Oryzias latipes: one gene and its partner. The protein of the gene in region 2 purifies or fractionates together with the protein of the main gene of each other region. This does not show direct contact. Links are inferred from orthologs where the notes say so. Each region holds a gene or a part of one and is shown on either strand. Other genes may lie near its edges.

What was found.
Region 1: the proteins of zufsp (region 2) and ubr5 purify together in Homo sapiens (affinity purification with mass spectrometry, with the first as the bait; 3 studies listed by BioGRID). This does not show direct contact. The link is inferred for Oryzias latipes from reciprocal best matches to the Homo sapiens genes ZUP1 and UBR5.

What each region holds. Positions count from the first base shown.
Region 1 is NC_019874.2:6,519,662-6,536,045, forward strand, and holds the end of ubr5 (E3 ubiquitin-protein ligase UBR5), read right to left. Parts: intron 16,107-16,384; coding exon 15,934-16,106; intron 15,298-15,933; coding exon 15,148-15,297; intron 14,914-15,147; coding exon 14,696-14,913; intron 14,565-14,695; coding exon 14,444-14,564; intron 14,318-14,443; coding exon 13,945-14,317; intron 13,782-13,944; coding exon 13,694-13,781; intron 13,625-13,693; coding exon 13,480-13,624; intron 13,352-13,479; coding exon 13,221-13,351; intron 12,110-13,220; coding exon 12,049-12,109; intron 7,313-12,048; coding exon 7,131-7,312; intron 7,049-7,130; coding exon 6,964-7,048; intron 6,889-6,963; coding exon 6,733-6,888; intron 2,291-6,732; coding exon 2,177-2,290; intron 2,105-2,176; coding exon 1,960-2,104; intron 1,875-1,959; coding exon 1,789-1,874; intron 1,316-1,788; coding exon 1,103-1,315; 3' UTR 561-1,102; downstream 1-560. UniProt on the Homo sapiens protein: E3 ubiquitin-protein ligase involved in different protein quality control pathways in the cytoplasm and nucleus. Mainly acts as a ubiquitin chain elongator that extends pre-ubiquitinated substrates.
Region 2 is NC_019874.2:5,459,503-5,475,144, reverse strand, and holds the end of zufsp (zinc finger with UFM1-specific peptidase domain protein), read left to right. Parts: intron 1-1,546; 5' UTR 1,547-1,563; coding exon 1,564-2,137; intron 2,138-4,042; coding exon 4,043-4,138; intron 4,139-4,218; coding exon 4,219-4,328; intron 4,329-6,056; coding exon 6,057-6,225; intron 6,226-7,473; coding exon 7,474-7,662; intron 7,663-8,371; coding exon 8,372-8,537; intron 8,538-8,613; coding exon 8,614-8,774; intron 8,775-9,264; coding exon 9,265-9,470; intron 9,471-9,534; coding exon 9,535-9,582; 3' UTR 9,583-9,668; downstream 9,669-15,642. Other genes in the region: WD repeat-containing protein 26, read right to left, coding at 14,799-15,166. UniProt on the Homo sapiens protein: Deubiquitinase with endodeubiquitinase activity that specifically interacts with and cleaves 'Lys-63'-linked long polyubiquitin chains. Shows only weak activity against 'Lys-11' and 'Lys-48'-linked chains.

The DNA of each region.
Region 1 (16,384 bases), about 1.1 Mb from region 2:
GCCAATTAGCATGAAACAGCATCGAGAGATCGTTTTCAACCGACAGCTGACCCGCACAATGCACCGACCGCCAGCATAGCAGGTTCACCTCATATGGCTCCGTCTGACTGGAGGAGAAATGCTGCGTTCAGGGCCCCGGGAAACTCCCCTACCCGAACCCGCTTAAACTTTAAAACATCAAATTTTGAGCCTCATGTAGAATAGAATTTACAATTATATTTTTAAAGTCATTTTAATAGATAATCTATATATGGTGGTAACACTGTCAAAGAATACTAAAATAAATCATGTCAGAGCCGTCAATGAACGCATGACAGTTTTGTTCCAGGAACTTGATGAGGCTTTTTCTACCGAAAAGCCTCGATGGGTTTTGAACTCAAAAATCCCTGAAAGGCCCCATGCTAGGTTCTCTACAACAATAAAGCTTACCAAATGTTGATGGCTGCCTCTGCAGACAGTTTTTCTACTGATTTTAAGAAAAACAAAGAAAATGTATTTAAATACCATTACTGTTTGATCCGAGTCTGTTGGAAATGGCATTAAATAAACCACAAAAGACGTGATTTGCATCCAAGTTTATTTTGAAATTCCCATCTCCCCCTGTACAAGAAAAAAATGACTTTTCACAAAGGCAGCAGTGAACTGTCAGTGATAGTACTTTTCTAGGGAAGGAAAAAAAAAACGTAATCACAGTGTCTCTTTTCTTCTTTTAAATATTTCTACTGCTGTCATCTTTGGCTAGGTTTCCGGTTGACAGCTGTCTGTCAAACCCAATTCCTGTGAAGCGAAGGTTTAAGCCAATAGAGCAAAACTATGGACTTTAAATTTAATAATGCCTATGCAGGAATGTTCTGGACCATATAACTCTTCATTAACAACAAAAGAAACAAAAATAAGAATAAAAGTTGAAATAAGAATAAGCAGTCTGTGTTTACAACACAAATGAATATCACTGCCTGGGGAGACAGCATGTCGAATTTCATAAAATTGTTTGGACAAAAAATAAATCTACAAAAATGGAGCTAGGTAAATATTACACAACAGTAAACATGTTCTTTTTTTTCCTTTTTTTCTTTTCTTTTAAATGCTTTTCAGTTCACCTCTACACAAAACCAAAATTCTTGGTCTTAATGGCTAGCAGGAGTTTCTGTTTGAGGATCTGTTTAGAAGAGTAGAGTGGCACGTAGAGACGGGAGATGCAGGTGTTGGCGGTGGGGAGGTGCTGGTCGTCTGGGGGCCGGATTGTGATGGAGGGCATGGGCTGGAAGCCTTCCTCACTCGCTGGCAGAGATGGGCTGGAGGTCCAGAAGTACACCTGAGGAGAGCAAACGCAATCATCAACACATGTTTCCCATTTTACTTTTCTTTTTTTCTATTAAGATTTTTAACAAACGCAGAGAAGAAAACAATCAGATTTAAAAAAACCTTGTATTTCCAATTTTGTAAATGAATGTAAATCAAGACATTTTTTATTTGGAGGTGCAAACATTCAAATTCGCTCAAACTTTAAACATTTATTTGAGTTTGTACTTTAATATTTTATAATACTTTGCTTTGTTTTTGTCAAATTTACAGCGAAGCTGAATACACCATCAGAAAGAGAGTAATCCATGAAAAATCCCTTTTTAAATACATGTTTCATCCAATTCTTTTGATCAGATTTGTTTTAAGGACAAAGATCGTCTTCCGAGTGTCTCTTATTGCACCATCTGGTTTCTGCTTTTAAACATCCACAGGGTTTAAATAAAAACAGCCCTTTGATTATTCCAGTCAAATAGATAGACTTACCAGGTCTTGCCTCTCAGTCATACTCATCTTTTCCACTATCGACCAAAACCATCGTTTGAACTGGAGCAGTTTGTCTGCATTCTCCCCTGTGAGACAGACAGGGTTTTAGATAAAGATCTAGAACAGCTCATGTTTTTATTACAGGTGGATGTTGACCTCAGAGCAACCAACCTGATTCATCGTTGAAAGAAGTGAAGCTGATCAGCATCTGGACATTGACTTCTCCACAGCCGTTCACCAGCAGCCTGAAGTCCTCGGCTGTCAGGTCCTCCAGAGCGTTTTTAGGAAGTACGTCCAGCAAACCCTTCCTCATCGCCTGTGAAAAATCGGAATCTAAATCAGCCTTTGTTCTGCCGACAGCCGTTCCACACAGAAGAAGGGAACTCACATGGAGCGGCTGCTCGGCCACCACCAGCATCCTGTGCTCTGCGTACCGCCTCACATACTCATAGACGTTGAGAGGAGTCACTGGCATGTTGACTCCACCAGATACCAGCTCCACCTGGAAAAAGAAAAACATTTTTAATCTGAGTTCAGGACAGATTCTCCAACATTTAGACCTGGAGCAGCAGAGAACCAAGAATCTGCACTTAGATTACAAAAACCTTCTTCCAGGCGTGTCCGAAGTCCGGCCGAAATTCAAATTTTCACCGGACCGCGAGCTCATGTCAATAAGCCGCGGTACTTTCTAAGAACTGTGTGTTCAACTGCTTGATTGTGATTGGCTGAAAACAAAGGCAGCTGCTTCCAGGACAAGTGGAAATTGGCTTTTTTGAAACAAAATAAATTGAAACGAAAAACAACTTTGTCTGCCTGAAACCGTGGCTGTTTTTACAGAGTTTAATATCAAGAAGCATTACCAGACAAGACATGGCAACTCTGACAAACTGGGACGGAATGGTGCGGAAAATTGAAGCAACTGGAAAGTGTTTTACGACACAGCAGCGTTTTTCACAAGAACCCGCGAGTCAAATAAAAAAATGCCACAAAAGTGAGCTACGTAGCAGTGTAGGGAAAAATCTAGTCAGCGATATATTTCATTTGGCGACATTTCTATCGATTTAAAATTCTGAAAAAACAATATTTATTTTCCAATTTATTTATTTTTGAGCGTCCTTCAGCAGCTGACTCTTTTTTCCTCTGAAACCCCGACCACTAGTTTGCAGCAGAGAACACTGAGCTTCTTTGAGCAGCTCTACACCACACAAAACAACAACAAGATCTCAGTGAAGCAGCTTGTTTTGTTGTTATGTGACATGAACTACTTCTTTTTTATGTAGGATGGGTACAGAATCAGTACTCTGAGCCATGTTGCTGCTAGTATCATAAAAACGTGGATTGCGGCGCTTTTTAGCTCAGATAAGAACCAGTGAAGCACTGCAGCTGTGCAGAGGCTAATGCTCAGAACATCAGTCAAAATACTGTCGGCAAAGCGGGCCAAAGTTCTGCAGAACCTCCCAGCAATAGATTGTAGTCCAGCGACCTGATGGATCAGAGTGATGTGTACAACGCTCTGGAAAAAGGCCAACGTCATGGCGATGGTGTGCGAGAAAGCTGAGCTGCAGCTGCAGAGCAGACTGTCATGGAAATAAAGCATCTTTGCCACATGAAAGCGTCTCCTTCATCTGTCATGCTGCTGCATCATCATCATCATAACACTTTATTGATGTTTTTCCCCTTTATTCTTTAAGCACCATTCTTGGTCCTAAACCATTGAAAAGTACTGGAGAAGCTACATTTAGCAATATTGAAAATAAACAGCACTTTAATTCCTCCTTCAGGCTTTTAGAACCGTATTGGTTAAGTCACATTTATCCTATTTTTTTTTCTTATACTGAAAAATATTTTGTTCCCTTTAAGAAACCAAAATAAAATAAAAGCACCATGACTTTTCTTGGATTAAAGCAAATTATATATGAGATACAGTTGCAGTGCTTAACATTGTGATCATTAAATAAAATACATTTTTATCATTTTATTACAATGAAAGGCATCTTAATAATCAGGTAGAGTTTTTTCTAAGTCATACTCTAAAAAAGAAAAAGAATGTGTTTTCCGATACAATATCGGGATACGTATCGTATCGCCAGACTCTTGCCGATACGCACCCCTAGAGCTACGAGGTAGAAGCACAAAGATCTGCAAACCTTTAGCCGATGGGGAATTTATTTAAGACTGTGATAAAAAGGATTTGAGAACATTTGTCTTGAGAAGAAGCAGGAGTTTGCTAATGTTTGCCTGGAACACTGTGGTCCGGAGACTTGAAGACATTTCATCTGATATTAAGAGACAGCTGGAGGTTTTTTCCACTAGCCTGTGATGAAAGCACAGACGCGTCCCACACCGTTCCTTTTTTGAGAGGAGTGCGCCCCGATGACGCTCCAGGCGGAGCTCATGGGGCTGCAGTGTGACGTTGTCAACCTTTACCGCCAGCTGGATGAAGGCAGATGCGAACATTCGCTAAGAAAATGCTGAGTTTGTTTGTCTCCACATAGTTGTGCGAGAGAAGACAATTCAACAAGAACCGCATGAGGACGGGACTAAGAGACTCTTTAGTCCTGAGCATTAAAACCACCGTTTTGAGCCAGATCCAGCCTTTTTGCCACCGTCAAGTAATATGTTCAGTCTTCTGTGGTGAATGAATTCTAAGATTGTAGGGTTAATTTGTGTGTTTGTACTGTGTTAAATTTTCCTATTGAAACAGTTTAAATGTTTAATAGTGAATAAAACGTTATATTTTTATATGAACCCAGATTTAATGTTGATCAGTTTTTATGTTCCAGACAGACTTTTTCTTCATTTTGTTTTTAGTCTTCAAATGTGGAATTCAGTCATTTTGGTTCAAATGTATTTAGATGCGTTTGTGTTCTATATGAAGAAATTAAAACACCACGGCAGTAAAATAAACTGATCATTTGCATTTACCGTAATTTCCGGACTATAAGCCGCTACTTTTTTCCTGCATTTACAGCCTTGCGGCTTATTCAGTGACGCGGCTAATTTATGGTTTTAATTGGCGGCCGCCATGTACGTACTTTCGGACTCAGTGAATGGTTAGAATTCTCTATCTAACACCAAGCGCAAGTCAACACACCTCTTAGCAGCCAAACAGCATGGACCTCACTTCAGGTCTTAGACACTTCAGTCATGGTTCAACATAACGAAACACGCATGCCCGGCCGCATCCCAGAATCCTTTGGTGCCATTAGACCCAACGTGCACGTGATCGCCACTACAATATGATGCAGCTTTCAAGTTAAAAGCAGCGTGAAAAAATCCACCATCACCAATGGGTTTGGAAAAGCCGGTCAGCTGCGTGACGGAGAGAACAGCGCATGGAGGGAATTTACCTCTGAGTCATGGTGACTCGGCTGGCTGCACGTAAATATGTGGCAATAACATCAGCCTTTATTTGGTCGGGACACGACTGTAAACACAAATTGACGTGGTCGTGTTAACGGTTTCTAAGGACTGAGCGGAGTTTTGCATTGAAACGCTCACAGCCTCCGTGTGAGCTGGAGACTGCGTGTCGTGTGAGCTGCGGGGCCGATGGCAGTCTGAAGGCTCCCACACGTAACAACGCATCCGCCCCTCATACACAAAACGTACAGTTTTAAGTCCGATTGCTCTGCACAGACACGATTTGCTCCGTTCACCGGCGCAATGGGGACGAAGCGCCCCTCCCTGTAGCCGCGCTGGCCAGAGCTGTCGGAGTAGATAGGAAGGGGAGACAAGGAGTGCGCGGGAGCGCAGAGGCGTCCGCGGACCAACAGTGTTTGTTGTGGAAGGAAACTTCTGACCCACGCGCCGCGAGGAGGCGCGCGTATCGCGCTGAGGCGCGCGCTTTTCAGTCGTCGCTGCTTTATTTTACTAGCGTGTTATTTAACCAGCCCTGTTACTCCCAAAACGCTGCCGCGACACAAGCGGAAGGAGAGCTGTACCCGTTCACCCCTCCATGCACTGCTGCTCCTTGCTCATTCTTAAACACGCACAACAGAATGGCGAGCCGGGCATTGGCCCTGCCTTTAGCCCCTAAGACTCATGGGAAATGGGGGATTGCGGATGTAAATTTCCTCATCATAACTGAGGGATGTAATGTTGATTATATGGTTACTGTTTGTAATTTTATGTGTGATAGCTAGATTGTCAATAAGTAAAAAAAAAAAAAAAGAATGAAATAAAAACACCATAACTGAGGAACTTGTGAACAGAATACAGGTCCATGCTGTTTGGCAGCTGTAGATATACTCAAATACATGAGCCTGAGGCAAAGCTGACTCCACCCACTGTGTGCTAATGAATCACACTCACTCTGGGAGTCAGGACGTAATTTGTCAGGATGACAATGTTGCCTAATACATGCGGCTTGTACTCCGACGCGGCTTGTGTATGTATAAAATAGGTTAAACACGTGAAAATGGGAGGGTGCGGCTAGTAATTGGGTGCGCTTTGTAGTCCGGAATTTACGGTAATCTTATTACCGTAAATTAGTTCAAGAATGCAGGCCGAATGGTTGGCCCTCACTAAATCTGGTCTTCTTTGCAAAAGGTTTGGACACCCTGCCTCATGCTGTCAAGATTCAACTAAAAGGAGATGTGTTGTTGGAGAAAAGTACTCGAGTAAAAGTCTGAAATGATTCTCACAACTACTCGAAGGAAAAGCTCCTTTGTCTGACATTTAATGAGAAGGTTAGTTTTTTAAGAATATGATTCCAATCTTTTTAGCATCAAGTCTACCCGACTCAAACCTGCTTCCATTTGTGTATTCAAAACAACTTTTTTAAGGAATTGAACCCAGCGGTCTAACATTTCGGAATTACAGAAAAATGAAACTTTAAATTGATAAATAATATGAGAATGGAACTTGGATGGATATTAGTCCTGATGAGAATCTAAGCAGACCTAATTGGGTGGTCTTTCTGGAGCACTAAACGGACACTCTCACCTGTCCAGCTCCTTCTTCTTTACACAGATCAATGGCAAAGGCCAGATCCATGGCAGCAAAAACTGCATCGGCTTCACCGGTCTGGGAATGGCGTATGAGCTGCCGCAGGCTCTCATACATGACAGGGTCAAAGAAGGCAAAGTCATGCCAGTTCACCTGCAGGAAGAAGAAAACATGACGTAGCAGTTCCTGAGTGGAGCTGCATACACAATCAAGCTAACACTCTCCTACCTTTCTGCCAAGAAGCACTTTAATGACGTGTCTGTTCAATGTGATTGGACAGAGTTCATTCTGCAGCAGGCATAACCCCAGTATTCTGCGAGGACACAGCATTATTGAGCTCGTTTTCACTTTTTTATGCCACACATCAACTGTCACGACCCGTTCACGTCTTTTACCTGCCAATATTACGAAAACAGTTAAGTCTGGCCTCTGTGTTCTTTCCAGGCCGAGGGGAGTAGAAGCCCCGTTTGCCGGGCTGGTAGAAGAGCGGCGCGTTGTCGTCCCCGTCATCTGGGTCATCGAGCTCCATGTCAACCACGCTACGTGTAGAACCATGACGTTTACGGTTCTCCTGTTGCTGGAACCATCAAAGAGATAAAAACAAGATTCGATATTAGAGTCTTTCAGAAAGATTATTAAAAAGGGTTCACTTTAAAAAAAAATTGCCCAAGCTGAGAAGCAAAAACTAGTCATCCACACAAATACTTGAGCAAAAAGTAACTGATGACAAAGGTAGTTAAGTAGAAAGTTTCCATGGTAAATTCCCGTTCACCATTCGTGGTCTCGCTGTTTCACAGACTTTTTTTTTTTTGCCAAATCTATAAATTAAATACTCTACTATAAATTTTACATTTCCAGGGAAAAAAGTTGGTGTCAATGCTGAAATGTAAGATTTAAAACAAAAACTGCCAAAGTTTTAGCTAAAATAGCTGCAGATAAGGAAGAATGAGCAAAAAAAGAAAAGCTTTGTAAGCTAAGTGCTCATTAGCTTAGAAAACGCACAAAAGAGCCAAACAAACCAGTTTAATGCCAACAATACATCACACTTGATAAAGCAATGAGAATGAAGAAATTAGCTTAACGAGCTAGCTTACGGCTGTCAAAGAAAGCCAAGTCCTAAATCAGTTCAAAATAAAACGGTGTTCTCTAAACATTGTAAACAAATGCATTTGTTCTGCATCAACAGTACGATGTGAATAAAAGCTGGATTTTGCTAAAGATGGCTGGCCATCCCTGCTCCTCAAGAGCCTCAAAGACTCCTGGTTTCCAGCTCTCTCTGGACTGCTGCGTGCTGAAAACCTAAACCAGGTGTGTTTAGTCAATCAGGAAAGATGGTCACGGAGAGCTGGAAACCAGGCAGGACTGTGGCGTTGGAGGACCAGGGTTGGATGGAGGCAGATGATTCTCTGTGGCGATAACTAAAGGGCGAAACCGAGAGGTGAGGAAGCAGCTATCTTGATTCATTTGGTCAAAGCTGAAACACCAGTACATCCTATTAACCCCTGCTCTGCAATACATGTAAAAAACACATGCCTGTTCTAGACCAGTGTTTTTCAACCAGTGTTGAAATTGCCCTCATTCACTGATCTAAAAACATTTACCATAGGGTTGGGCGATGTCCCCTAATTTGGCCGTTGACGATGTTTGCTGTCAACCATCGGGATGGACGATGACATCGTCCGGGGGGGGGGGGTATTTTTTCGTTCTTATATAACTGCTATTCGTTATTTTGCTTTTTTCATTTTATTTCCCAACTAATGGTTAATCCGCGATGATCCAGTATAAACTGAGGGAAGTGACTTTAACGGAAAAAGTAACAAACAAAATAGAAAAGAAGTAGTCCGCTCCCGCACTTAGCGGAGTGGACCGGCGGAGTGCGGATTTACAGCTTTGTGTTTGATGGGAAGGGGGGGGGGGGGGGGTACATGAGCGGTATGTGTGGGAGATTTAGGACTGCGATCCGTCCCGCAGCTCTAGGGGTACTAGCTACCGAACTCAGAACCGGGTCTAAACGTGTGTCTGAGCACAGCACGGATCGTCAGCACACACAGCGGTTTGAGCTTCAAAGCAGAAATGTCGCTCAGTCCTTAGAAAACATTCAATCACGTGGATTTGTGTTTCCAGTCGTGTCCCGACTAAATAAAGGCTGATGTTATTCACAGGATGCACTGCCACCCAAAGCTAATGTTGTTAGCCCGTGTTAGCATACTGCTAATCCTGGCTTCGTTCAGATAAAGAACTGACCACACGGATTAAAATTCAAATGATGAGCAAACAGGTGTTTCATAATAACCGTAACATTATTAAAAGCATGTTTAGAAGATCATCTCGTATTTTACCGAGCTGACATGTCAATATATATAGCCGCTCGGCGCTGTTATCGTTTTGTATTGAATTGTCATATTCAATAAAGTTTGGAAAAAAAGCCGCTCGGCGGAAGTTGTATCCCCTTCCGGTTTTCAAACTGCGCATGTGCGAATACTGCGCATGTGCGAATGATTTATTCCGACCGAAATTGTGACCTTAGTGAACGTTTTTATATTCTGAAAACATTTTTCTGGGCCCATCTACACGGTTGGATTCTAATCCGACCATTGATCCCATCAAGATATTTTGTACATGTAACCGCGGCTTATGGTGTCGACGCGCAACGTGGCGGGGGCGTGGCATCACGATGGTGGTCTCTCCATCGGGATGTCAGTCACCCATCACGATGGACGATGATATCGTCCATCGGCACAACCCTAATTTACCATCTCCAGGATATCAGCTCTTTGTTCATCCAAACAGGCCATGATAAAACACTGAGAAGTTAGGAACATGAAAGATCATAAAATTATTTTTTCTTTGTGTTTATTTGATTCTATTAAAGACATTTTGATAAGAATGACGGTACCGCGATTTGGCTGCAGCTAAAGCTCTGTTTAAGGAAAAGTCCCGCCCCTTTAACTGTCTCCTTCTTGAAGGCTTAATCATACGTCATCGGTCTGACCAATCAGAAGTGGTTAAAGTCTCCACTTCCTTGTTCCAATTTAGCTCATAAAGTCTCTCCGTTCCAACAAAAATACCAGCTAAAGCTCGTCTTTAGCGGTGTAGCTTTCCACAGAATCCGATATCAGACCCGGGAACAAGTGAACAAAACATTGAAGCTCAGAGACGCTAGTCTTTCTGCCCTTTTGCGGCAGTTTTCACACTACATCTCCCATGATGCATTGGGTTAAAGGGACAGCGTCTTAGCGTACGATGAGTCGTCCTTAAACGTCTTGAAACCACAACAAACACACATCAAACCGTTTTTGAATTTTCTAACTTAACTTTTATTTCATCTTTTAGAAAAAACAGCCTGCTTTTTCTGCAACAGTTATCACAAAAATGATCTTGAGATTGCGGGGGGGGGGGCTGTCGATCAATACAGACCGAGTTTTTTTTTGTTTGGATGCTGGTGTGCCGCGGGGTCTTTGTCAAGGTTAAAGTGTGCCGTGGCTCAAAAAAGGTTGAAAAACACTGTTCTGGACTTCTATTAAAAACTGGATTAGTGTTTAAAAAGTGAAGAGACAGTTAAAAGAGGAGTATTTGCGGCAGCGTACTTCCATTGAAAATCTCAATTTGAACTCTTTGATTTGTGATCAGTATTTAAAGTTTAAAATTAGGGCTGGGAGATAAAACCATTATATTTATCGCAAAATAGCTTTATCTCAATGGAAAAATGAGTCTATTACGATAGCCAGTAATTAAAACGAGCATTTTAGCAAATGAGTCATGTTTATTTACTCTCCTTTTGGTGAATGGTTTTGTTCTGTCCTCCTCCACCGTCTACACGTGAGTTAAACAAACCCATGCAACTTGAGAGACGCCCCATCCAGAAAAAATAAATAAAGGAAAAGCTCATAGTCTGTATTGATCTACAGTCCCTCTACAATCTCACGTGCATTTTTGTGATAATTGTGACAGAAAAATCTGGAAGCTGCAGCTGTTTTTCTAAAAGATGTAATAAAAGTTAAGTTAAAAGATTTAATAACTGATGTGTGTTCGTTGTTGTTTTAAACGTTAAGAGGAGAGACTCATTGTGCGCTAAGACACCGTCACTTTAACCCAATGCATCATGGGAGATGTAGTGCTGAAAATCCGCCGACCGCAGAAAGACGAGCGTCTCTGAGCTTCATTGTTTTGTTCACTTGTTCCACGGTCTGATACCAGATTCTGTGGAAAGCTACACCGCTAAAGACGAGCTTTAGCTGGTATTTTTGTTAGAACTGAGAGACTTATGAGCAGAATCAGAACAAGGAAGTGAAGACTTTAACCACTTCTGATTGGTCAGACTGGTGACGTATGATTAGGCCTCCAAGAATGATTGGTGGAGACAGTTAAAGGGGCGGGACTTTTCCGAAATCAGAGTTTAAGCTGCGGCTAAATCACGGTACTGTTATTCTTATCAAAATGTCTTTAATAGAATCAAATAAACACAAAGAAAAAAGTATTTTACGATCTTTCATATCCCTAACTTCTCAGTGTTTTATCAGGGCCTGTTTGGATGAACAAAGAGCTGATTTCCTGGAGATGGAAAATGTTTTTAGATCAGTGAATGGGTAATTTCCCACGGCACACCTGACCATCTCTCGTTGAAAAACACTGGTCAAAACTACCAGCAGAAATGCTGATAATCTGCTTTTAGTTCCTGGATTATTCACAGGATGCTGACAAAACTGTTTCTCAATTTTATGCTCGTCATGGAAAACTTGAAAACAGAATTTATCTGTGGTTTTAATGTTTTGTTTTTAAATAGATCTGATCAAACAGTTTAGTGTTCTCTTTTATTTATGTTCTCTTGAAACTTAGTTTGTAAAATAAATTCCTTTTCTTAGATATCTGAAACAAAACGTGCATTATGTTCCATCAGTGCATCTGTTTGTTTAAAGTGTGATAGATAATAAATATTTCAATCTAAACAACCTGCTGATGATTACACATTACTATTATTTAGTTAGTATTAAAGTGTTCAAATCTGACAAATATAGTTATTGGGATTCCATCGTGATACCGGTATCGCCTGATATGGAAAAAGCTATATCAGGATAAAAAAATGCTCTATTCAAAAGTATTTTCACAACAGCCTAAATTTAGACCAAAAGCTGAACAAAATCATGGCTAAATTCTTTCCACACCTGAAAATACTTCGGTGTGGTGTGAAGTAGAGTATTCTGACTTACGTGTACTTTCTCTCTAAAAGTTCCTTCAGTAAATGTAACTTATTACTAGCCCTATAAGAATCAGGCAAACTAATCTAAACCTTTAAAAAAGTGAAGACGTGTGAACCTGAGCTTTCTCTGGAGCCTCGGGGAGTCCCAGATCCAGAATGCTGTCTGCACCATTTTCCCTGAGGAGGACACACAGTGTGAAAATGCTGAGACAAGGCAGAGATTTAAAATCATTTCTTTACCACCTAATTTATCATCCTTATGTTTATCAACTTTACAACTTTCAGTTTAAGTCACTAAGCCACAAATCTTTTTGTTCATAAACTCTGGTATAAAAATAAAAATACTCAAAAAATATTTAATATTATTATATTTAGCAAAGAATGAAATTAATCAAGAGCTTTAAAAAACAGATTTCTACTTCTTAGAGACCCACTCCAAAGAATGTGGTTTTTTTAACATGTTCTTGTACCATTTTTCTGACAATGGAGGAGATATTTGAAGTAAGTTAAGTACAAAATTACATTTCTGAGTTTTTTTTCACTCAAATCATTGTGAAACAGGAGCACACAAATGAATGCAGTTAGAAAAAGATCATATTTGTTTGATAGAAAACACTGAGCGGGCCACGAGCTTCCTGCTCCGCTCAGGAATAGGGAGGGGAAGGGGGTGTGGCAGCTACACCGCAAAGGCCCCGCCCACATTTCAGAGATGAATTTCAAATCAACTCTTGCCGCTCTGCAGAAACCTTGTCCTTAAAAACGACTTAAAAAAAAAAAAAAAACTTGCTAAAAACTCACTTTGAAAATAGATCCATAGATGACTGGAGTGGGACTTTGAAGCCATCACTCATTTAGATCGCCAGTTTCAAATTAAAAGCAGATCCGGTAGTTTTAACCTCTTGAGAAGTGAGCTAATATTAGAGCTAACCCTCCGCACACGTAGTCACAAAGCCCACGTTGAAGTACAGTTGTAGTGATTTAGCCCAAAATGTGATGTTCACACACTTTGTGTCCTAAGGTCAGCCAGCTAAGCTAAACATTTACATAAATTCATCCAGAGGTTCATCAGTTTTTTTTTAAAGGTGGGTTAAAGGTCAAGTGTATAAACAGTTACGGCATGCTTAAAAAGGAGGCTTTTGCAAATGTTTTTTTTTCTTTTGTCATCATGACGCTGTAACTACTCAGTAGAAATACTTTTGATTTGTGAACTTAAAAAAGTGCAGAACGTCTGGAATTTTATCGTAGTTCAACCAAACGAAAGGTATTTTTGGAGTGAGAGTCAACATACCTTCCATGCGCGATGAGAAGCTCCATGGCCTCTTCCACTCTGGCTCTGAGAGAGTCCTCACTGGCCAGTAGCAGCAGCAGCTGAGCCGGAGACAGCTCCAGCAGCATGCCGGTAATTTTACTGGCAAACGCCTGAGAAGACAAAAACAATGTCCCCTTGTTTTTGATCAGTTCATTGATTCTCAATAAGTATTTCAATGTGAAGATCAGCACGTGGAATCATAGCTTGTCAAAGCCCTGCCATTCCAAATGCTCATTACCGGCTGCATGGTGTGAACTCTGGGGTACAGCCTTTCCCCCAGAGCCTGTCTGTGTGCTGGAAGAGGGTCGGGCTCATCACTGGGGTTTCCTTCAGACGAAGGCCTGAACGGCCTGGTATCTATAGAGAGTTGCCTCCTGGAGTCCCTGGATCCATCAACAAGTTTGAATTAGCATCGGGGTTTTTCCTTCTGACACCACAGGCGCAGTGCTTACCTGTCTCGGTCCCTCCGCGATCCCGCTCGAAGCCCTCCACTTCTCCTCTCCCTCTCCCTGTCTCGGTTCCTCAGGCGTTGCATGAGGTCTGGTGGAACGAGTCAAACGCAGCAAGTTCATTTGAAGTTGCTCTTTAACCAAAGACATATTTTCAAAAACAGCTGCAACTGTTTTCAACACAAGTGCAACACCAAAACAAAGCAACACAATCACGTTCCACAATGTGCAGTAGTTTCTATGTGTAGTCATACTTGAATTGTAATCGTGATGACACGTACTGCTGGCCTGCATGCCCTTGCTGACACTCTGAACACAGTCCAGGTTGGGTAGCTTGTCGTTGGACAGGAGTGCCAGCGCGATAGCCGTGTAGAAGCTGCGGGCCACGCCGCTGCCCTCTCCGGGCTCGTCTTTGAAGGTGACCTTCACCCGGTGGACGGCCATAGGCGTTGTTGTGCACCGCCTGCCAAAGTGCGCATTGAGCTGACGCATGGTCTGCTGGATTAACTGGTCTCGATCACGGTCCACCTCCAGGGCCAGGTCACGCGACTGCAGGTTCCTCAACTTCTCCATCTCCCGCCGGAACTTGGACTCCTTCACCTCAAAGCCGCCGAGTTCAGTTAGAATCTGACATGGATGAGAACACGACCATCTCCATTTGAATGGGTCAAACGCGTACTGCACCATTTTTGTGTCACACGAACTCCCCAACATGCAGAAATGATTTATAGCAAACTCTGAAGCTAAACTTACAGATCCAGGCTCAGCTCCGACGTCCTCCATGAAGACCCGACCAAACAGCTCCAACGACAGACGCCAGCGGCCCAGTAACATATCGTGAGATATCATCATCCCCATGAAACTACAGTGAGGTCTGGACACACAAAGGAGAACCAACATTATCATGCTGAACACTATTCAGTAAGCTGTGAAGACAGACTGTCAGGAGGATGCAGAGTAGAACAGGATCATCTTCTACATTCCAGCTTGGTGATCGATGCTCACCTGAAGGACGGCAGCGGAGGACCGTCGCTCTCAGTGAGGCCGATCTCAGCGAGCAGGCTGCTCTTCAGCTGGGCTGCGAGGTCATGAGGCGAAGGCCCAGGTTTAGAAGCCTCCAGCTCCTGCTCCCCCAGTGACTGGTTCTCAGCGCTCCTCTGTCTGGTTTCCATGTTCATGACGTTCTTCAGGTTGGCGGAATACGACATTTTGGTAGGGAGGATCTGATGGAGCAGAGTGTTTTGATGTAATGTCATTCGTTTTCTCCTCAGGATGCTGTAAAAACGACTGAAAAGAAACTGAAAATGGAACAAAGACCAGCAGCTTCTGATGTCCTAACTAAAGCCAGTGCACACAAAGCTCTGCCAAAAAGTTCTGTCTTAATTTACACATGTCCTGATTGTTGTGCACAGAGTGCTTATGCCAGCATGTGTGTCCAGTGAAAATGAGTAGTATACCTGGGAGGGGGAGGGTAGAGAGGAGCCCATGTTTACCTCCAGGCAGTTTCTGTCCATGCTTCCATCAGCCAGGCCTTTGGTTGCCATGTAAGAGGACGAATACAAGCCCTGAGAGGGGCGTCCAAACAGGTCCTCCTTTCTGGCATTAGGCTGTGGAAGAAATGTTTGAAATACGTTTCACACCAATGGGAATATTTACATACTATTGAGTCCAGTTAGTGACTGGGGGCTTTGCCTGTCTGCTAAAAAATGACGCTTAAAATGAAAACCGGACTATCCTCACGTAGCTTCCTTTTTTTAGATTTTTGTTTGTGCCATCTTTATTCCTCTGAGAATTTGTGTGCGAGTAGAAAAAGGTAAAGCACAGAGTAGTGAATAAATTTTTGAATTGGGGAATTACAATTTCATACAGTAACTAAGGCAAAGTAGTCAATTACTCTTTAAAAGGTAATTTACCCAACACTGGATATTAATACCGATACAGTCCCAGACAAAAAAATCCAGCAGAAGGTTAAAAAATGAAACAAACATGGAGCAGACTAAAACGGGTTGAGATGTGATTTCTTCTGATCATTATCAAGTGTGGGTATTCTTGAGATTCCAGTCTGAGCAGCAATGCGGCTCCCATGACTCAATCTACAGCATTTCACAAATTCTAACTGGTTGCTAAAAGATTTCAACAAAATTTTTTAGTTTGGATCAAAAAGGTGCTGGTAAAGTTAGCGAAAGCTGTTCTCAAAAGCGCTAACAATGTTCTGCCATCGACCGATGTTTTTCAAATCAGACCTGCAGCAGATGGGGCTGGTCTGCCAGCGGAATGGCCTCTGCCAGAGGGACGTCGAAAGGGTTGGGAGGGATGCAGCCTAAGAAGGTCATGGAGTCAGAGCGGCGGAAGAACGGGTGGTTTTGACCCATCTCAGCTGGAACCGACTCCTCATCCTTGTCCTGCAAGGTTGAACCTAAAAGATCAAAAGGTTTAGTTGACAAAAACACACAAACTATACTCTGTAGCTAACACGGTTACAGATCTACTCATTTCTATGGTATGCAGGGAACTCTGAAGTAAAAGTTTGCTGCCTGTGAGTGAAGAAACTGCAGCATACTTTTCATTCATTTAGTACCTCGCAGCAAATAATCCATGGATGCAGGAAATTAGCTGCACACGCGATACACGAGTGAGACCCCAATCCCTAAAAAAAAATTTTAGGCCGTTCTTTGATTTGATTTCATGTTAAAA
Region 2 (15,642 bases):
CCGCTGGATCCGGTATCAGACCGTGGAAAAGGTGATCAAAATAATAAAGCTCAGAGACACGAGTCTGTCTGACACCACTACATCTCCCATGATGCAATGTGTTAAAGTGACAGCATCTCAGCGTACAATGAGTCTGCCCTGTGTAAACGTCTTGAAACCACAACGAACACACATCAAACAGTTTTTCAATCTTCTTGATGAAATCAGAGGTCAGAGGTCAACAGTTAAGTTCTCCTTCAAGGTTTGTGTTTATTAACATCCAAACATCCCAGAGTTTGGTCCAAGTCATCTTTCTGACTGAAAAACTTTTCTAATAACGTCTGGATTATTTTAGATGTTAAATTTAACAAGAAATAAAAACAACATTTAAGAAGCAGGATTAAGGTGAAGTGGCCAAAATACACATTAAACTAAATTGAAACAATTTAATAATCTAAAAAGAAATAAAACATTTTTGTTCAAGTTTTCAAAGACTATCTCTGATTAAGACAAAAGAAAAACTAATAAAACTTCAACATGTTCAGTTTTTGTGAAGCTACAGAAAACAAATATGTTTTTTTGTGTAAAATTTATCAAACATCTTGTGATCGATCATATTGTTCAAAAATTATAGTTGCCTTTGCACCAACATTTAAAAAAATATTTAAAAAAGAAATCACAATTTAGAAAGAATATATTTGTTTTTTTGTGAGGTTACCTAAAGTTGCATATTAATAAACTGAAGGGGAAAACAACTACCAGGGTAAAATGTCAGATAATTTAGTTGAAAATTATTACTGAAAACTAACTTAACTTTTATTACATCTTTTAGAAAAAAGAGCTGCAACTTCCAGCTTTTTCTGCCGCAATTTTCACAAAAATGCACGTGAGATTGTGGAGGGACTGTACATCAATACAGACTATGAGTTTCTCCTTTTTTTTTCTTTTTTTTTTGGATGCTGGTGTGCCGCTGGATTTTTGTCAAGGATAAATTGTGCCTTTAAGCAACAAAAACCAAATGTCTGAAGGACATAACAGCCTCAAACATTCAAATCTGTATTTCGTGTCTTTTCGATGCTTTTGTTCTTTGTGGTTAATAAAAGTTTGTCATATTTGTTTATTCAGGTATTGTTTGAAGTTGTGTTATATGTTTAGTAAACCCAACCCCTTTCACACTGTGGTTCACCTCCAGCCAATTGGGATTGACCTGACTTGGTGGAAGTAATTTTGTGTTTGGACGTCTTTTTGATGCATTACATATGGAGAAAAAGACAGTGAGACACAAAGACTGACAAAGTTGGCCAAAAACTGAATATTTACTTTCCGACTGATTGTTATACCTTTTTACCAACATGGGTTTTCAGCCAATACTGCTGTTACTCAATAATTGTTTTAATTTCTTTCAAATGCATCTCTCTTTTACATCCCTAACCGATACTGCTTTTTCTCTCTGTGCTTGGTTGATTTTGTGTATCTCTATCTTTTGCGTCCCTAGTTTTTCCATTGCATGATGTTGTTCTTGTGCTGCTGGTGCTGTTGTCACGGTACTGCCATGTTGTGTTTTCAGGCCTGTGTGTGACGATCATGCTGACGTGTGAGGTGTGTGGGGAGGAGCTTCTCCTGGAGGAGGACATGAAGACACACCTGCTGCTCGTCCATCTGGAGGCCGACCTGCACTGCCCCCTCTGCTTCCTGTCCGCCGTGTCCTACGATCAGCTCCACGCTCACATGTCAACGGCACATCCTGAGGAGCAGCACAACCACCCGAAACCTCTCAACAGCACTTTTGCCAGAACCAGTACCAGTAAAGTCCCAATGGGTCAGCCTGCTGGTACTCCAGCTGAAAAAGAGAAATCCATCAGAGCCTCTACTTTGGTGAACTTAAAACCTCAGGAGCAAGAAATCCCACCAGATCCGGAGCATGCTGGACCCCTCTCTGCAACTTTGTCTGCAGAGGAACCAGAAACCTCACAGGAGTCTGACAGGAACCAGGCCCGACAGCTGTGGAGTTCAGGAGGACGTCCTGGTACATTTCAAATGTTGGAGCACTCAGGAGAACCCAACCTGTCCTGCCCCATGTGTGCGCTGGTGTGCACGAGCCCCTTGGTTTTGCAGGAACACGTGGAGCTGCATTTGGAGGAGCAGCACCCAGAAAAAGGTCTGTTCTGAGCAGCTAACCCACCATGTTTGAAGATTTTCTTGCCATGCTGAAAACAATGTAGCAACATGGAGCTGTTCAGTGTGTCCCACAAGTACTGTTTCTATTTCCCACCAAGCAGTTCTGACTCAGAGCGTCCACCAACCATGTTAGATCTCTGAGGTGTTCAGAATCATCCTGAGACAAGATTGAGCTTAAATGAGCTCCTCTTATTAAAGAGAGGAGAGGAAGCTGCCCGGCTCCTTAGATACAAATATTCTGTTTATTTACAGGAAGACCTCTATTATCCATAATGATTTAATCCGAACAGAGCTGCAGGGTTTATGTCTGTAGTCAGACTGAATGTCACTGTCCTTTGGAGCCATGTGTTTCTTTGAATATCAGTGGGGACGACTTTAAGAGCTTCTTTAGAGAGAGAATTGCAGGTCAACCTCCCATCCACCTTCAGAAATAATTGTTGCTTTCTCGTCACTTTTGTCCTCTAGCTCTGACAATTGTTGTCTCTTAATGGAAATAAATATAAAAGAACAGCTAAAACATTCCATTTTCATTTTTGAAATTCTTTAGAAAAGCGTTACAAATCAATGATGTGACCATAGGAACAAAAACGTTCTCTTGGGTTTTATCTAAGATTTAGAGTTAAGTAAGCATTTAGAGTTTTTTTGTAAATAAGGAAACTTTCTCACACCTGAGTGTGTTTGGTCCATTCCTGTTAAAAGTTTACATGCTTTCTTTAGGCAACACATTCTGGCAGAAGTTTAACGTTATGCTGATGATTCTCAGCTAATACTTGTCTTAAAAACCAGGATATGTCTCCCAGTATACCAGGCTTCATGTATGTACTAAAGAGTTAAAGGCTTGAATGTTGGATTCCCTTGATTGCAGTAAAATCCCATTCAGTCTCCAGTTCTACTTTTTGAAAAAGGCTTGGGTCATAACCCTCAGATAAGTCATTCATATAGCGGGAATAAACGTTTCTAAAATGTCCCCCTTTTTATTTCTGTAATACGAAAGAATCAGGAACATTTGTCGTCAGGATAGCACAGAGAAACTTGTTCCTGCATGTGTTGCTTCAAGATACTGAATTCCTGATTGTTATTGTTCTACAATTTCACCAAAAAGCCACCCCCAAATTCTGCATTAAAGGTTTTCAATAAAAATGGCCAAACAAATCCTATTTCTCCCATTTCAGATTCCTTCATTTTGTCTGCCTGTTGCTGGCAAAAAATAATTCCAAGTAGGGCTGCACGATATGAGGAATACTCGCAATTTGCTATAGTAGTGATCAATATTGCGATGACAAAATAACTTGCGATACATGAACAAACAGCAAAACAACCAAAAACATAATTTCAGTTTCACTGGAATTGTTTTATATAAGAGTCAACATAACTTAAATCCTACTCCAAATGACCCTCATCTACATAGGAGGCGAGCATCTAACACAAAGGGCTTCATCCAATTGGTTAAATGACTCGTTAAAGAACATTTAACCATTTAGTACAATTGTCGCCGAATTTCGCAATATGCGTATTGCACAGCTTGATATGGCAATAACGATAAATCTGGGGTTTACTGTGCAGGGCTAATTCCAACCTTTTTTTTTTCAGACATAGAAGCTTTTACTGTTTAAACTTCACTGTATATTAACAAGCCCTGGGTTCCCTGGTTCACAAACCGAGCTTTCTTATCTCATAATCTTATCACAGGATTCCTGGTTGTTCTTAGAACTAAAATCCACTTTAAAGACTGACAGAAATAAGTATTTATCTCCTACAAACGAGAATTCTGTCTCTCCTGCTTATACATATTCAAAATATAAATCTTTGTAATGCACGGATATCGTTAACTTAGTGTTGGCCACGCCCCTACAGAAGCAGCTCAGGGCTCTGCATCTGTTTGCAGGACGGAGGCCGTGGGAGTGTCCCATGTGCTCAGCTGAATGCGCCGACAGTGCTGCGCTGCAGGAACATGTGGAGCTGCACCTGGACCCCTGCACAGGTGCATTTCTGTCATTACTGTGATACCTGTGTGAGTTTGATTGGTCCCTGAACCTTTAGCAAATCTGCATTTGTCTCCAGGACGCTCCAGCTCTGATCTAAGCCTGGCGGTCCAGCTGCAGCAGGAAGAGGAACAACACAGGAGGAGGGAAGAGGCGAGGCAGGAGGCGGAGCACTTCAAGAAGCTGCAGGTGACTTATGCAGAACCAAGCCTCTGGACCTTTGGTTCACGGATTTTTGATCACCGCGGTGATGAACCAGCAGGGGGCGCGGTGTTGCGGTTATTAACTGCAAACACCCCCCCCCCGCCAAAAACAAAATCCCTTGCGGACTCAGAACCGGGTCTAAAGTGTGTGTCTGAGCACAGCTCTGATCATCAGCACACACACACACACACAGCGGCGGTGTGAGCCTCAAAGCAGAAATGTCGCTCAGTCCTTAGAAACCGTTCAAACAATCACGTGGATTTGTGTTTCCAGTCGTGTCCCGACTAAATAAAGGCTGATGTTATTCCCACATGTTTACGTGCAGCCAGGATGCAGATTGCAGCACCACCCAAGCTAATGCTGTTAGCCCGTGTTAGCATACTGCTAATTCTGGCTTCTTTCCGGCTCCGCTCTTCAACAGAAAAAGCAATGACCACACGGATTACAATTAAAACAGGCGAACAGGCGCTTCATAATAATCGTAACATTACTAAAAGCACGTTTAGAAGATCGTCTCACTTATTACGGAGCTGACATGTCAACGTATATAGCCGCTCGGCGGAAGTCATATCCTCAGTCATTCCGGTTTTTCAAACCCTACTGCGCATGTGCGAAGGAATTTTTCCGACCGAAAGTGTGAGCCATGTGAACGTTTGTTATATTCTGAAAACATTTTTCTGTGCCATGTACACGGTTGGATTCTAATCCGACCATTGATCCCATCAAGATATTTTGCACATGTAACCGCGGCTTATGGTGTCTACTCGCAGCGTGGCGGGGGCGTGGCATCACGATGGTGTCTCTCCATCGGGATGTCAGTCACCCATCACGATGGACGATGGTATCGTCCATCGGCGCAACCCTAGATGGCGCTCCCCCTGGAGAGAGGGGGAGGAGCTCTGTCACCTGGAAGGATCTCAGAATGGAGTCACTGCTTGTACATCCTAGTTGAAGGAGGCCCCAGGAAAGCACCGGGACATGCTGAAGACTAGGGATGCCTCAATTCTTGATTTAAAACTGAGCCGTGGGGAATGTGAATAGTGCGTGTGTTTATGTTGAAAATGTTAAACACAAGTTGTGCACATTTTTTTTAGCGGGATTTACTATTTATTTATTTAATTAGGATACACCAGGCCTTAGTGTAAGAAAGTTTTTACTTCATAGTTACTTGCTTATTGGCAAATTAAAAGTATTTTTCTGATTTTGTTGTTGTTGTTTTGTAAAACACAAATCAAAGCAAAACAAAACCATGACCTAAAAATTGAGGTTTGAACTATGAGGAAAGCAGGTTGTTGCATCCCTACCGCTGGCCTGAAGAGGGAGATGTGGGCATTTTCTATTTGGCTGCTGCCGACCTCTGGGTAAGATAGATAACATGGATGATTCCTTTTTATGTCCTGGAGATTTCCTCCCTGGATCTGATCTTTTCCTAATTTCTGGCTTTATGACACATGAACATGCAACCCCCTGCAGGCTGATGCCTGTAGTCTTTGCTTGCAGCATCACGGAAATCAAGTAAAAGCTACAGCTTCTTTGAGCACGGTTGATTTAAAGTCTACATGGAGCGTCCTATTTTATAAAACCAAGCAAATTCTCTGTTTCCTGTCTCCTTCGAAGACCATCCAGATGATCCTGTGTTGATCTGTTGCACTGCAGCAATCGTGTCACAGTTTGGGCTTTCAGTTTCAGTCTCTGGTTCTGCTGACTCCCCAGAGGCGCTATGGTTTGGACGGGTCAGGGGGCTACCGCCGGCAGATGGAGAGGACCATGGAAAGGGAGGTTTCTCGTGGCCGGCTGGCACCCGCAGACTTTCACCGTAAAAAGGCTGACTTGATGGAGTCTCTGACCTCGGGCGTTGATGACGGCAGATCCAGAACCTGCGGTACGCTCCTGTGTTTAGCCGTATGTGTTTGGGGACGAGGGGCTTCTCCAGAAACCCTCTCCAGGGACGACATTTCATTTGGAAAGGAGAAGCATCTCACCACGGCTTTAGATGTGTGAGACGGAGCTCCCTCCGTGGCAGAAACGGCACAGACCTTTCCAGACATATGCAGAAAGATCTTTTTGCTGTTTAGTCCATCATGCAGACCATGACGGTCTCAGTTTGTAACAATTCATCCTCCACTCAGCGAGGGGAACGTCACAACGCCCCTCGCCCCTCGATGTCTGGGGCATCAAATATTAAGTCAATCTGCCCTCTAATATTAAGAAAAACTCATGTAACCGCTTGTTTGTGCAGCCCTCTATTGTGTGAGCGTGACAAATTATAAACTTACACGGATTAAACACTTCGCCCAACACTCAAACACCAAAAAACAGATTTCCTAAAATCCACAATATATGCAGAACCCAAAATTCAAACCCAAGTCCCGCAGTCTTGCTAACAAAAAGGAAATGTTCTGGAAGAAAATGAGTGTTCAACAGTCTGACATGTTTAGTGGGAGACCTCCGCCTCACTCGCTGGAACGCATTCCGACCGTCAATGAAGCTGCTGGTCGATCTGAGCTCTTGGGAAAATATACTCCATCAAAATTATGAGGAGAATAATCTGAGCTGGGAAAGATAATCCATCATACGAGATCGCTAGCTCCTTTGTGCTCCTGGTCCGCTGTCAGTTGTGCATTCTTTCTTTTTACCGCGCTCCCGCATCTCATTTAAAAAAAAAAAAAGGTGTGTCAGCCTGTCACCTGTCAGCTGGTCCCGTTCAACCAATGGGGTGACGACAAATACAACATGTGACCTCAAAAGTTCATTGACAAAAAACCTGTTAAATAAATCCACAAGTTTTTCCAGTTTCAGGTCATAATCAGAAACTGATTTGTAGTGGCAACCATTACAAGTTCCCCAGCCTAATGCACATGATCCATGTTCAAACTGGACTGAAGAGCCATTCCTGCTCTGCTACCTTTGTCTTAATGTGTTCTTGATAATCCTCTTTCTTCACTAATAACTTTACTTATTGTGAAAAAATGGCCACTGAATTGACTCATTTGGTTGGAGCCAGAAGTACGTCTTTTTCTATGGTGACATCACACTCACACAGTCCAGTTCTTCTATACAGTCAATGTATCAGGTTATAAGATTGATGGTGCGGGTCACATGACTGAACTGTGGGACGCTGTATGTGCAGGTGCAGTCGATGCCTTGACGGAGTATTATCGGACCCCGGCCTGTGACTGCGCCCACGTGTGGCTCTGTTCCGACACCGACCACTTTGGCGCATCGGCAGGAGACAAAGGCTGGGGCTGCGGCTACAGAAACTTCCAAATGCTGCTGTCCTCCCTGCACAGAACTGAGCCCTACGCCTCTTCACTTCAAGGTGCGAGTCGCCTTTGATGTCCTGACTGTCATGGTGCAGGAACAGTGGAGGTTGGACCGTGACTCCCCTTCACATTTCTGTCCCAAAGCCTCACAACATGCATCACAAATTAAAACCACGGAAGAAGTACGAACAGACCATGCAGAGAACACATAAATTGACACAGAACATGAACCGTGTGTGATTATTGGGCTGTGATTTGTGCGTCAGTTACGTAATTTGAATGCGAAACGTACGCCGTATACGGGAGATAAAAGTTATACATCGGTGGTTCATGCGTTAAAAGTCTGTTAGACATAGCCACAAATTTGTGTATCCCAAAAACCACACACAATTGCATAAGATTTACATAACAATTGCGGATAAACTACGTAAAACATGCATAACCTGCATAATTCTCAATAGACTAAAAGTCCGGAAATCATGTAAAGATCCTAAACCCTCGACAGACATCTGAGCACATCGACAGATAACTAACACAAGAAACACTTTTGAATTCCGTAAATCACGCAAGACTAAAATTTCATACGTGGAAAATGTACACAGTGGCTGAGTGACGTCACGTAGCCTTAAGATAACATTTCCTAAATGAGAGAAAGCACATAACTGACAACCTAAACCAATAAACTGAGGTTTTCATGTGTGCTAATAAATATTAATGTTATTGTTGAGTTTCTCCAAATCCACTGATGTCTTTTTGCTCGGCCAGAAAAGGCAGTTCCTTCTATCCCACAGGTCCAGAGAATGATAGAAGAGGCCTGGAAAGCAGGTGTGGATCCACAAGGAGCATCCCACTTCAACCACCGCCTGCAGGGAACACGGGCCTGGATCGGGGCCACAGAGATCTACGTGTTGCTCACCTGGCTGGGTGTCAGGTGGGACGGCAGCTCTTGCTCCATGTGTAGGCAATGAATTGTTGCTCATGAGCATCATCGCGGTGTTTACCTCCAGAGCACGCATCATTGACTTCCACCAGCCTACGGGCCCCGGGGACACCCATCCCCGGCTGTTTGACTGGGTCAGACAGTACTTCCTTCAGTCCAGCCAGAGCAACAGACTGCCCCCCAAGGTCATCCGAACCAGCCTGCCCCCACTTTACCTTCAGCACCAAGGTAAATGGATGGGGGAGTGTGTTCCAGCAGAGGCTTATTTACATAAAAAAAACTCCTTTGAAAATTTGTCACCACATTTGGTAATTCAGTTGTGAAGTCATGGTTGCCATGGTAACAGTGTTGTTCATACCTTTTATTTTAGCGTCTTTTTCCTCTGAACACCAGAGATGTTTGATGTTCACCAGAGCTCTTACACTTTAGGGTGGGGGCTTTATGCCCATATTGGGTAATTACAGCTGTTGGCTGGAGATCAGAACAACTCTGACTGTGGAATTCCTGTCAGCACGTCTGCTGCCGTGTGAAAAGTTAGTTGTCTACAGGTCAGGCTGTCTTCGTCTTTTGCTCGCGGTTGCCATCGGTGATCGCAAGAGATGCCGTCGTGGTTTCTCGAATTAATTGAGGAGTTTCGGTGTGTCCACTTTGGTGCTATATTTGGGTTAATTTGTCTGATTAGTGGTTCCATCCCTTCAGCTTCCTGCTCTGTCTGCAGGTCACAGCCGCTTGGTTGTCGGCGTGGAGCAGAGGAAAAGCGGCGCCCTGGCCCTTCTCGTTATGGATCCCGGATCGAAGCTGTCACTAAGCACTGATGCGGTTTCCGTGGCGATTCGCCACATCAGGAAGTTCCCCAGCAGCCTGAAGCACAAACAGTATCAGCTGCTGGCGGTGCAGGGGGTGCTGTCTGCAGAGGACAAACAGGTACGCTGGCAGCGCACATCCGCCATCACCTGTTTGATCCTGAAACTGCTCTGTCTCTGTCCAGGCTGCTGTCTTCAACTCCAGGACTCTCTGTGCAGAGAAGATCCCATGAGAGGCTCTCCAAGCATCTTTTTACTGATCACAGTCTTCATAATTTGGTTTTAGATGTTTTATAATAAATGCTTTCCATACAAAAGTGTCTGCTGTGTCATAAGGACCTTTAAAAGGATTTCCTTTTTTAACCCAAAAAATATCCGCAGTAAAGAGAAACTAAAAGACAAAAAAATTAAGTTTTATTTAGCAAACTTTGTTGCTCTAAAGACTATGTTCTAGCAGACAGACAAGGTTTTCAGGATTATAGATGAGCCGCATGTTTATCATGTAAAAAAAGTCAAATGCTTATAAATGTATCAAATTTCACAGTTTGCATCATTTCAGTAAGTTGCAATGAATAAATCCAAAAACTTTATTTCATAACTGTCAGACAACAAGAATAAATGCAACATGTTTTTACTCACACTTAGCAAAAACATAAACTTAACACTTTTGATTTTGCTCCAATTTGTCAAGAAATGAACTCAAAGATCTGAAACATTTTCTACAAACACAAAATAACCATTTTCCTCAAATATTGATCACAAATCTGTGACGGTGAGCACTTGTCCTTTGCTGACAAATTCCGGGTGTGGCATTAAAGATGCTGATTAGACGGCTTGATTTTTGCACAGGGGTCACAATGAATGGCCAATCTGAGATGTCCTGTTTAGTTCCATTAACCCTTGTGTTATCTTAGATGACCCCACCCTTACATTGACGTGTTCTCCCTACCATGACAAAGGTGGAAAGATTTCATGTAATCCATGGACACCAGTGAAGTTCACAAATCATTGAAGAAAAAAGGTTCAGAGCACTGTCTAGTGGGTCTAGATGACCCAACTCCCAATGGTAAAGTGCCTAGGATAGAAAGGGTTAACCTATGCTCTGGAGACTCAGAAAACCGGTCAGTGTCTGGTGCGACCACCATTTGCCTCATGTAGTGCTACACATCTCCGTAACCCTTGTGCTGTCCTAGGCACTTTAATATTGGGAGTAGGGTCATCTGAACGTTTTTTTTTCAGATTTGTGATCTTCACTGGTGTCCATGGATTAAATGAAATCTTTCCACCTTTATCCAACTTTGTCATGGTAGGAAGAACACGTCAATGTAAGGTTGGGGTCATCTAAGATAGCACAAGGGTCAACAGAGTTGTCGTTTGTGACCTGTGTAATGTTGGTCCACTCCTCTTCAATGGCTTTGTGAAGTTTCTGGATATTAGTATGCCCGCATCCAGAACATCCCAAACATGCTCAATGTCCGGTCAGTATGATGGGATGTTACCAGCCTCCAAGAATTGTCTACAGATCTTTGCAAATGGGGTCATGCATTATCATGCTTCTGCATTCTTGGATGTATGGCTCAACAATGGGTGTCAGGATCTCTTCACTGTAACTTTGTACATTCACAATGCCATAACTAACTTCTGTCTGCCCATACCATAACTCCACCGCCACCGTGGGCCACTTGATCCACAACACTGACAACGGAAAACCGTTCACACACGTTCTCTGCTCTCTGCCCTGAATAGCGTTAACCAGGATTCAAATATCTGTGAAGAAAACACTCAAGTCAGACATGACAGGAGTCGGGTCGAGACCCCCGTGAGGACGACGAGCATGCTGATGAGCTTCCCCTAGATGGTTTCTGGCAGTTTGTGCCAGCGGCTGTTCGAGTGGCTGGTCTCAGGCGATCTTGGAGGTGAACATGCTGGATGTGGAGATCCTGGGCTGATGTGGTTACACTTGATCTACGGCTGTGATGCTGGCTGGCTGTACTGCCAAATTCTCTAAAAACACCTGTAACCCTTGTGCTATCCTAGGCACTTTACCATTGGGAGTTGGGTCATCTAGACCCACTAGACAGTGCGCTGAACCTTTTTTCTTCAATGCTTTGTGAACCTCACCCTAGTCCATGGATTACATGAAATCTTTCCACCTTTGTCCAACTTTGTCATCTAAGATAGCACAAGGGTTAACCCTTGTGCTATCTTAGATGACCCCACCCTTACATTGACGTGTTCTCCCTACCATGACAAAAGTGGAAAGATTTCATGTAATCCATGGACACCAGTGAAGTTCACAAATCATTGAAGAAAAAAGGTTCAGTGCACTGTCTAGTGGGTCTAGATGACCCAACTCCCAATGGTAAAGTGCCTAGGATAGCACAAGGGTTCAAGATTGTCATTAGAGAAACCCCAGAACAGAAACCAAGTCACTGACGTGCTGGATTCTGAAAAGGTCACACAGAGCTGCAGTGAGAGCCACTTTCCACACATGGGGACAACCTGGAACAGTTTAGAACCTTGCCAGGAGTGACCCGCCGCCCAAAATACCCAAAGCCCATCTCTTTTTTGACAAAAAAACATCCAAAACTGTTAGACAAATATTCTGTGAACTGGGACAGAACAGGGAGTTTCTGGAAGGTGGGAGTCTGTTCCATCCGCACTAAAACTAACAGACGATTGAGTCAGACACAGATGTGGCGGTTTGATGTGTGGGCTCAAATGTCCTCCATCAGTTCATGAGAACTTTGGATTCTGAGGCAAGAATCAGGAGATCCAAGAATTCTGGTCCAAGTGTGGAGCTAACCCAGACGGAGATTCTGATTCTGAACCTTAACCCTTGTGCTATCCTAGGCACTTTACCATTGGGAGATGGGTCATCTAGACCCACTAGACAGTGCTCTGAACCTTTTTTCTTCAATGATTTATGATCTTCACTGGTGTCCATGGATTACATGAAATCTTTCCACCTTTATCCACCTTTGTCATGGTAGGGAGAACACGTCAATGTAAGGGTGGGGTCATCTAAGATAGCACAAGGGTTAAACTTTTTAGTACACGGAGTCTGAATTGAAACAAAAATGACACACATGAACTTTTCACTCAAATGAAATGACCGTTTTCATGGCGGCTGTCCGCTATGTGAGGCTCCAGGAGATCATTGACTGAAGCCTCTTCGTGGCACATCTGGACACTTCCCAAACATGGTTTCGACCACGTCAGAGACGGGGTAGGAATGGAGGAGCTGCAGCTCCATCCTCGGATGGTCATGATGAACTTCACATCTTCCTCAAGGTTGCTGGGAGTGTGTCCGCATAGCCCCCCCTTCCTGCAGGCAGCAGCACAGAGTTGAACCTGTGTGTGTGTTGGAGCATCTTCTGAGGGACTCATGTTCCCGGTGCATTGAACGCAGCATGCGGTTCAGGTTAGCTCCAAAACTTTATTGAGAAGACACAGCTTTCCAAAACAGCCAATCAAAACGCAGAGTTTCTTGAAGGCAGAAAATGGGTCTAAAGCGCCTGGGGTGGGGGGTGGGGGAGCGTGAGAGAGAGGGGGGGGTTTAACATGCATCATCCACATGGTCCCTGCAAACTGCCCCCTCTCCTCTTATGGGGGGGGGGTCTGAAACTGTCAGTGAATTCTGCAGCTAAAACACTTCTAACAGAGATCACAAACACCCCCCTCCCCATCTGGTAAAGGAGAGTAGAGGGTTGAGGGTTAAAAGCTGCAAATCTTTTCAGCATTAAAAAAAAAAGGTGACCCCCCCCCCCCCCCCCCCCCCCCCCCCCCCCCCCATGATTCTGACGGTTCATCAGACGGCCAACAAGATGCAGACAATCTTCAGGAAGCAGTCAGGGAACAAATAAACCGAGAACACAGTACTGGGCTGGTTCTGTCAGCCAACACAGGTCAATAAATACCAAATAAGAATAAATAAGGGGGGGGGGTTGGTCCTGCAGGGTTCTGACAACAGGAGGGTGGGTCAGCTTCACCAGCCGAACACAGTCATCTCTGTCGCACGCTGAAGCCGAGCAGTTGTCCAATCAGCAGATTACCAGAGTCTCTCCACAGCCTCCATGCGGGCGGGGCAGAGGTGGTGGGTGGGTGTGTGTGTGGGGGGTGGGGGGGGGGTCATCAGCTGTCCATACTGCAGCAGTCTGGGTAGGCAGAAAGAAGCGTATTCAGAACGTTCACTTCAAGCATCAGAGCCAAACACAAATGTTAGAAGGAATGAATGATGTCTCCATGGAAACCCAGTGAGCAGATGTTCACACAGTGCAGGAACTAACAGAGAAGATTTGCAATTAACAAAGGATCTATCATCATAGATGGTCAACAGAACCATCATTTCAGTATTGATAGGATAAAGCAGGAGCCAGGCTGCATCGTCTCTTTCAACAAAAAAATATTAAACCTTGAAGGCCCACTCTGATGAAAACTGTGTTTGTGTTGTTGCTTTTTTTACATGTTCTTGTGGCTTTTTCTCATAATGGAGGACATGTATGAAGAAAGTTCATCTTAAGATAGCATTTCTTAATATTTCTTTATTCAAACTGTGAACTGGGAGCAGACGAAAAAATGCTGTTGGAAAGAGAGTTGATTTATGACATGGCTTTGCTCTGCTGGCAGAAAAGCTGCCAACATATCATATATCTATTGCTTAGCATTTCTACTGACTCATATGAGAGGGTGATCATGCTCACACGACAAAGAACGTTCATAATTGGTTCAGAGACGGAACGTAAAACAAAGTATTACCTAAATATATAGAATACTTTTTAAATTCACACTGGGAAGGAATCGTTTCTCATAAATAGCATGTGAGTTTGGTTACCCCAAGTACCTCTTTCTTTCTTTCTTTCTTTCTTTCTTTCTTTCTTTGTTTGTTTCCCCCTCATCACTAGCTGAAGCTGTCCAACCAACAAATGTTCTTTTCCGAAATTCAGATAAAACACAGGTTGTTGTTTTGGTCTGGAAAACGTCAGAGATTCACTTGGGAACAATATGATCACATTGGATGAAATGAAACTTAAACACAGGCTAAACTAAATCTGTCGTTTCATGGGACAACCAGGAAGGCATCGAATCGGCTTGTTTATAACTTGAACAACTTGAAATAAATGTGATGAATTAATGAGGATTATCAAGGGTTTAGTTAAAAAAGGGTAGTAGAGCAAGACTGGTTATTCTGACAAATAGAATGACTGAGTAATAGCTGTTTATTTTTCTGTAGAAGTCAGAGATTTTAGCCTCTGATGTTGGCTGTTATTTGTTTGGAGTCATAGCTGGTCTGCTATGAAAGTCAAGATAGTAATGTTAATGTTTGATTTGTCTTAATTTGCTAAAAGATGCTCACACTGACACCTCAATGCATTTACCTGGAAATTCAGGCTGGAGCACTAAGACACAGGATTGCGCCCTCTTGTGCTTGCTTTTTTTTTTTCTATCGTCATGTCCATGGCCAACATCTCTTTGAATCCATCTCTTTACATCCAACAAAACAAGCAAATTTTGGACCAGAACCAAACAAAATACTGGAGTCTGGGAAACGACCTGCAGTGACCTGCTCACCTCTACAAACACACTCACTCCGACTGCACTCACTGATGTTCACGCTCGCATTGCCGAAGCCCTCCACCTCCTCCACATCCAGGAAGGGGGCGGGGCCCCAGATTCTGACGGTGCCGTCATCAGAGGCGCTGGCCAGCAGACCGGGCAGGATGGGGTTCCAGCTCACACAGTTGACGGTGCGAGTGTGGCCGGTCAGCTCTGCGATGGGAAGTTCGCTGCGGCGATGCCAGATGTAAACTTTATGGTCTGCCAAGAGACACACAGCTTACCGGCTGCTGCGTCGCTACAAGAAAAACCTAGTGGCTCCACTTGTAAACACCCACACGCATACAGATGTGCTCATAAGTTTACTTACCCTGGAAGAAAGGATTTCTTGGTCATTTTTCATAGAATATGAAAAACTTTGTTTCCACTCATAGTGATTGGGTGAAGCCAATTATTGTCCAAAAATTCTGTTTACCCTTTTTAAATCATAATGACAACAGAAATGTCCAATACGACCAGGTTCAAAAGTTTACTCACCCTGACGACTTTCTTCTGAAAACATGAACACAAGGCGATACAAAAGGATTTGAATGACACCTAAAGGTAACTATCCTCACCAGAGACTCGTTTGTTTGTAATCAGTGTATGTGCACATGCGGTCTCAGAGTTTCTGGGCATCCTTCACCCACTGCTGCACTGACATTTCTGGATCCTGAGCCATGATCCAGAAAGGAAAG